Nothobranchius furzeri: one gene and its partner. The protein of the gene in region 1 interacts with the protein of each later gene in a biochemical or structural test. Links are inferred from orthologs where the notes say so. Each region holds a gene or a part of one and is shown on either strand. Other genes may lie near its edges.

Region 1 (3,647 bases):
AGACATATGACTCCTACATGCACTAGGCTGCTGCAGATTATAAATATTATTCATTTAGCTGGGGGGGGGGGGGTTAAAAGTGTGTAATCCCAATGTGAAAATGTTTTATTTCAAACAGGAACGTCACATTTTTTGGGAGGTATTTTCTTCATTTCCTCATTTTTGTTTTAGACATTTGCAAGAAAAGTGTGAAAAATCAGAAAGTGAAAAAACGTTAACTGTGATTGTTAAATATTTGACTTGTGCAAGAAAAAAAGGCAAAAATGTCTGACTCGTGTATTTACAAGAAGAAACCCAACTTCTAAGTATAAAGCTCTGGAGGGGAATCAAAATGTTTTTATTACAAAACTTTTGTTTTTTTAATTGTCAGATTTTTTTTTTAGGAATTCCCCAACAAACAAACAACAAGCTGTCTAACGCTGACGCTGAAGCGTGGCTCCCTGCGTGTCCGCAGTGCTGATCTGTAGTTTGGAGCCTTGCTAAAGATTTCATAAATGATTGACGTGCAGCTCAAGGCTTTGGAAGTCTGTGCTGTTTGAACGGACCTGAAAGGGAAATGTTCGGAGTGTTTTATGTGGGACAGGCGTGCTGTATAAAGGTTGTTGAGGTAAAACTAGACTTACGTCATCAAAGTCAAACACGACTTGTTAGATTTATGTTTTCACTCGAGACAGTGAGCAAGAAAGGGTTCACTAAATTGGCCTTTGGGAAGTTTGATGTGTTTTCTGTACACACAGCTTTTACCATGCGGGCTTTCAAATGTTACCTTTGTTTGGTCTCGATTGAGCTGTTTTTGGATACATTAAAAAAAAAAAAGTTTTTCTTTTTTATTTAGATGAAATGGTGGAGACAAAGTCTGGAACTGCTACCCCGCTCCGCTCTGGCTCTGTGAGCAACTACCGCACCACCACTAAGAACGATGTCGATGGGGCGGACGTTTCAGCCACGTCTAGCACTGTGCAGCCCACCAAGACCGCCGAAGGGTCCTTAGGGTCATCCTCGACCTCGTCCATCGACTCGACGGGGGGAGGGGAGAACACCCCTCGACCAGGAAGCCACACCATCGAGTTCTTTGAAATGTGCGCGAATCTTATTAAACTACTTGCACGATAGCTTGCAAAAACAATCATCGCTAGCCTTTTCTTCTCTGAGTGTCTTTATAGCAATAAGCATGGAACAGATTCATGGCTTACTTCATCCCAACTGAGGATGAGGTGATTGTTCCGTGGCGCTCATGCAGGTTGGTGTTCTCTGTGCAGAGGGGAAACATACAGAGCTGACTGGGTCTCTAGGAGTTGTTGAGATTACGCTACCCAGCTAGCTAGAGCAGGAAACAACATTTCGGGGAGGGGGAGGTCTTTAAATTTCTCAATCTGTTTAAAAGCAGATATCAACATCCCAACTTACAAATTACGCAGAAGTGATTACACTGAACGTTCTGTGCTGTAGCCTGCAAGGCCTGCTTTTCAGTACAGAGAACAAGATCACTTTTTTTATTTTTTACCTGCTGCGGGGAGGGGGCGGAGCCACAGTTTGAGGATTGAGTGATGTTCATAGGATGCAGGAAGCACTTTTGCACAAGTTTCTGTAATTTTCTGCTGCTTTGTTATTTTTTATTACCTTTTTTCCTCAGTAGGGATCAGAGAAGCGGTGCCGACGTCCCAGAGCGCCGCAGCGTTTCATTCCCATCACATCACATTAGTGCAGTGGCCTCTGTGGTTCTGGTACGTGTCAGGGACTTAAGAATGCTCCATGTTGGGTTTTATTTTGTTAAATGTCAAAGACTAAATGTTCATGGTTCTGTCCTCGTTGTGACCGATTGTCCAGCTCCGACTTATATTTTTTTTTATAAATAAATACCTGAAAATATTTATCAATGCATTAAGTGGATGGAGTTTTGGTTCCAATGACTTGTTTTTTCTTTCATTACGCTCTAATGCTGGATGTTTAAATATATACTCATTTTTAGCTGTTTTTAATTCAGTGTCACACCTTTGTTTCCCTCAATCACAATTATTCAGATACTTGATTGTCTTTCTAGAGAACTAGTCTGCTTTTTAGAAGGTGTTTTGCAACGACGGTCAACGTCTAGAAATATATCATTATCAGTTTATTACAGTGACAAGTTGATTATGATTTTTTTCTTTTCTTTTGGATTATGGAGTATGATTACTGGATGGGATGTCTTTTGCTTACATTCATTTGATGAAATGCCAATCAGTCACGTGTGTTCAGGCCTCTGTGCTCAATTTTAAACGAGCAGCAATTAAATGCAGTGCGTCAACGGCGTCCGTCAACATCATTTATGTTTCGCTCACACATTCCTTTAAAGGTTGCACATCGTTTGTTTAAACCTGAACCAGATCATTGCTGGTACTGTAAATGGTGAGAAAGATGAAGAATAAAAGCGAGCTAGTAAACGTGTGGCACAGAACAAAATAAGTAAAAGAATTTGCAAGGTAAGAGTCTTGGATATGTATGATCTTGTTCCATTTCCTGTCTAGTCTTAAAGGTTTTCACTGGTGTCCATTTGGCTGCCTTATTATTCGTACTGTTTATCAGTTTTTATGTCAGGTTTGAGCCCTTTGCTGGCCTGAATTATTGGTAACCTCTGCAATTTTAAAGGTTGAAGTTCATATTTTATATTTTCAGCCTCAGCTCACCAAGTTAAGTCCGATATTCTAGAGATGTTTTGGATTTTACTGCATAATCTACACATGGGATCATGTTGCCAAAATAGCTGTAATTCATCTCTGCCTGTAAAGATGATGGTTGGAATTTAAGAAAAACTGAAGTAGATGTAAAATTGATTTCTAATTTTGTAAATTAAAGTAACTTATTTTTTTGGAGAAGTTCTCATTTCTACCAAAAAAAATTCCTAAAAGTTAGATATTTGTTTAAAACTTGTCAGCGTTTGGATTTTTCCAGTTTCGGCTCTACAGATCTTTGAAATCCAGGATGAATGTATCTACACATTTTTAGATATTTAATGATTCTCCTTCAAAAATTGCTAAGAGTGACGATAATTGTGATCATATTTTCTTGTACTGTATGGCAGGTATGGCAAAAATGTTTAGTTTGTCTTTATCTCAGTTTTAAGCCAGAGTTAATAAAAAAAGAATCCATTTGAAGACGAAAACTTTATGGTCTTGCAGACGCGTTGTAAAATTTTAACACTCACGTTAGTTTTAGAGGGCAGTTGCAAGCATTGACCAAAACTTGCCATGCCTTATATGATGGGTTTTGTTGAAAACAGGTGAATGTGTGCAAAAAATACAAATTTTTGCCAGCTTTTAGAAAATGAAGTGTCCTAAAAGGCTGTTCGGTTCAGTGTCTGATAGAACAGCTTCATATAGTTTTAAAAAAGCTCTATTTTTGTTTGGAGTGAGAATGGACCCTATCGGATTGATCAGTGTAAATCTGAATGAAAGTGTTGAATCATTTGTATACGCAACTGCCTAATAAATGCTAATAAATTGCACACTGCTGTCTTTGAATCTTTTTCATGATTACATTTTGATTTATTAGTAATGCAAAATTGTATTAGTGTTATTTTTGAGCAGAATAACACTTGAAAGTCAGTGTAAAAAGTAGTTTTATTACATTTGCACATTTTCATACTAGTTTTTTTACATACATTTTTATAG
Region 2 (4,192 bases), on another chromosome or scaffold:
TTCCACCAGATGCACACAGAGAGCCATCAGGGGAGACGGTCACTGTGTTCAAATAGCCAGTGTGACCAATGTGGTTGGTCTTCAGCTTGCAGTTGGCCAGGTTCCACACCTGAGAGGCATCACACCCGAGACAGAACAAACATCAACATCCAACATGGAAGCTAATCATAAAAAAGGTTGTCTTACGCAAGTAGTCAGCTAATAAATGCAAACTAAGTTAAACCATCTAACCAGGACCAAACATTAGCAAATTACTAGTAAACCATACCTTGACCACCTTGTCCCAGCCACAGGAGACAATGATGGGGTTGCTGCTGTTGGGGGAGAAGCGAACACAAGACACCCACTCAGAATGGCCTTCATCCTGCAAAATCAAGTTTGAACAGTTTAAAGTTCAGCTCATCCCAACAATGGCTCACTTTAGCTCATGTAACCACCGAGACTTATTCCATGATCCTGACACACTACACACTTAAAACCATCATACAGATTTAGTCCACAATGCTCCAGCTGATGGCTGAGCTGTGTGCTCTACCTCAGAAAATGTAAAACTAGTTAAAAAAAAAAAAAAAAGCTTGAACAAAAACTAAATGAAAACCAAAGAAGGAACAGCTCTAAGCAGCAGCAGCAGCAGCATTAAGTGACAGCTCACCTGAATGGTGTACTTGCAGACTCCAAGAGTGTTCCACAGCTTGATGGTCTTGTCTCGGGAGCCAGATACAATCTGACGGTTATCAGCAGAGAAAGCCACACTCAAAACATCCTTTGTGTGTCCAACAAACTGACGGGTGGTGGTGCCACTAGAAAAACACAAGATTAAGACGTCCGATTAGAATAAAGCTATATTAAGTTTACAGTTTAAAATGCCTGCCCTCCTCTACTAATTATGGCCTCTACAAGCTACAGTCATTTAAGGAGTTAAAACAGTTTTTTTCCCCACTTGTATTCAAACAAATCACTTTAGTACACAAACCTTAATGCCGATCAATGACAATTTTTTTTAGGTTCAGTTTATATCGGGTTCCAGCACTTTAGCCAGAATCAAATTCCAGCTCCTCACTTAGATGATTAAAACTGTTCAAACATGGACTGTAGTTTTATTCCTGTATAAACCCCAAACCCATTTATTTAGATCTACTGTTCTCTTAAGTCACAACTAAGGAGTGTATAAAGTGATGAAGGTGTAGTAAGGACAATAACACTGTGGAACAACAGTGTCGGGTACAAGAAACTGGGAGAATTTATTTTATAGGATCTCTGACAAACATTGTAATTGTATATAACTGCATTTTTAAATGTCTGCTGTTTATTATTTAGTGCGAGATTACTGAAGTTCTATCTGTGGTACAAAACACTAGTATAAAAAGCTGTTGCACGGTCATGTACACGCAAATGAAGTTTGTTCACCAAGATTGGGTTTACACATGGTGTAGCTTAACTAGATGTCATTTCCCAACTGTTTTATGGCTTAAGTTATGTTCCCTGGCAACTTGGTATTTAGAGGTCATAAGTGCTGAAATGTTTGTAGCTCTAGTAACAAATACGCATTAGCGCGGACTGTGTGTTAACATCGGTTCAAACACATTTTCATTTATAGAACAAAGGTGACAAATCATATCTTTAAAACTATCCAGGATGTTTGTTACAACTTAAATTTAGAAAGGACATACTTCCAGCTAATACAAACATGCAAGTCTTTACCAACTTACTTATTTCTAAAAAGAAAAGCATTAACTAGTTTAAACTGTGTTCCACATAGATGCTTAGATGATGCAGATCAAGGGTCAGCAACTTTTTTCCTTGAGGGGTACCATCCTGCAAGTTCCACACGTTTCCTGCTCTAAAGGACCCAGATTAACTGATTTCATCACAACCTTCCTAAGTTGACTTCTCTAGATGCTCTCACACATTTAAATATGTTGGGAGCAGGTAAACGGGTAAAGAGATATATTTACAGGACAGCGGATCTGATGTAGAAGCTTTCTTCCTAGCTGTACTTACGTGGTGAGGTCCCACAGTCGGAGGGAGCCGTCCCAGGCGCCTGAGAGAGCAAACTGTCCATCCGAGGAGATGACAACATCACTTACAAAGTGAGAGTGGCCCCTCAGAGAGCGCTGAGGGATCCCATAGTTGGTCTCGTCACGAGTCAGCTTCCACATGATGATGGACTTGTCTGAAAGTTTAACACATAAGGTTCAGGACTCAGGAGTATTGCCTAAAGCAAAGAGCAGGTAGGTAGCATTAGCATGCGAAGCTAGCACTTAAGTTAATATCAAGTTAATATCACATTGCAGCGCTTGGTTCAAGGCCTTATAACCTCATGTCAAGTAGTCTGATGTTTAACTGGATGAATCAGTGTCGGTGCTATGTTGGTGTAAACCCAGGAGTGAAACACAGTAGATCCAGCTAATGACGCTAGAAAGCACAAGTTTAACTACACCAGGTTTCCTCCACTTCTGAAGTCGCAAATGTTCACTATAAGCGATTAATGAGCCTTTAGGCTGTTGTAATCACATTTCAGCGGTCTTCTGCCACTTCCGCAAAAATCGTATTTTTGTAACATTACCAAAGAGTCACTGCTAGCTTACAAAGCTAGCTGTAGCCATGTTGGCGGCTGCCGGCGGGGGAAGCCTCACCTCGGGACGCCGACAGAATCATGTCGGGATACTGAGGGGTAGTGGCGATCTGGGTGACCCATCCACTGTGGCCCTTCAGGGTCCCCCTCACTGTCATCTGCTCGGTCATTTTGACGAGGTTCGGTGGTGCCTTTTACAAGGATGGATTCGGATATTTCTCAGGTTCGTAAAAACCTAGGTCCTCATCGCATCTAGGCACGGAGGAAAAGGAAGTACAGACCCGGATGCAAAAACTAAGAGGGGTGAAGGGCTCGCAGAGCATTCTGGGATATGTTTTTTTCCCCAAGTCATCCAAGTGTGCTACAAGAAAAGACTGAAGGGGACTGTTTAGAAACATGATAAAACATTTCACTTACAACACATCACCATTATATATAAGTAATACACACTGATTTGGTTATTGGTAACAGCTGTGCACATCCCTGATATGTTTCTGTCTGAATGAATAAAGGAAATTAAGCTCTTACGAAACATAGCACCAGTAAAATAAAATGTCTGTGATGGACACAAATTTTCTGATTTTAGAATATTCTATATTTTACAAACGTCCGTATTTTTTATACTTTATGTTACACACACACACACACACACACACACACACACACACACACACACACACACACACACACACACACACACACACACACACACACGAGCTTTAATCCCATAATATTTGTTTCTTTTCATGTGAAAGGCGGCTTTAAAGTTGACGCCTTGATATATTTTATACCAGGGATGTCCAAACTTTCCTAGATAAGAGCCAAAATCAGCAAGTTAACTGTCCTTGTAGGCCACAACATATACATTTTTTAAATGCTAAAAATATTTATTCTTGCATTTGTACTCCCTAAAATTTGTCAAAATGGACTATTAAGTTTGAACATACAATGTTGGGGGGGGGGGGGGGGGGGACGACAGTGACATAAATTGCTCCAAGGGCGACAAATGAGGGCCACATACATGCCTGCTCTATACTTGTGTACTGATTAACAAACAATCTTTAAAATTTGAATTTTCATTTCATTTCACTTTATTTGTAAAGTCTCTTGTATTTATTTATTTATTTATTTATTGGTTCTTTTTTAAACACAGAGAAGAAAACTTTTCTTTCCTGTGTTTAAAAGAGAACCAAAAAAAAAATACAAGTTAAAAAGACCCAGAATGAATGCACAGAAGATTGTAATGTCCCTTCCACAATCTCATCAAACACCCAAGGTGCTGGACAATACAGCAGGCAACAAGTACAAATAAGACAATATAAAACAACCATAAAAACATATAACCTAATAAAAAAAGGCCAATTACAGACAAGACAATGATGCCACGCTACAAAATAATTAATGTTTTATCTCACATGTTGAACAACATTTGGAATCCTTCAATTTCCAGGCTTTCTACTGGTATGTTTTATGAATAATCTGATATTTCTATATGTAAACTACTGCACAGCTACACTATTTCAACACTGTTACATTAGGCTGAAGTGAGAATATTGGTAACAGTGTTGTGTGCTTAGAAAAAAATTGTATGGTAAGCCTCCTCTCACTGTAAGACTT

Evidence for each region.
Region 2: of the proteins of prkaa1 (region 1) and rack1, one has a biochemical effect on the other in vitro, tested with the Homo sapiens proteins (2 studies listed by BioGRID). The link is inferred for Nothobranchius furzeri from reciprocal best matches to the Homo sapiens genes PRKAA1 and RACK1.

The regions. Positions count from the first base shown.
Region 1 is NC_091746.1:66,863,076-66,866,722, reverse strand, and holds the end of prkaa1 (5'-AMP-activated protein kinase catalytic subunit alpha-1), read left to right. Parts: intron 1-835; coding exon 836-1,113; 3' UTR 1,114-3,481; downstream 3,482-3,647. UniProt on the Homo sapiens protein: Catalytic subunit of AMP-activated protein kinase (AMPK), an energy sensor protein kinase that plays a key role in regulating cellular energy metabolism.
Region 2 is NC_091741.1:97,232,441-97,236,632, forward strand, and holds the start of rack1 (small ribosomal subunit protein RACK1), read right to left. Parts: upstream 2,858-4,192; 5' UTR 2,746-2,857; coding exon 2,637-2,745; intron 2,174-2,636; coding exon 2,002-2,173; intron 801-2,001; coding exon 653-800; intron 365-652; coding exon 269-364; intron 110-268; coding exon 1-109. UniProt on the Homo sapiens protein: Scaffolding protein involved in the recruitment, assembly and/or regulation of a variety of signaling molecules. Interacts with a wide variety of proteins and plays a role in many cellular processes.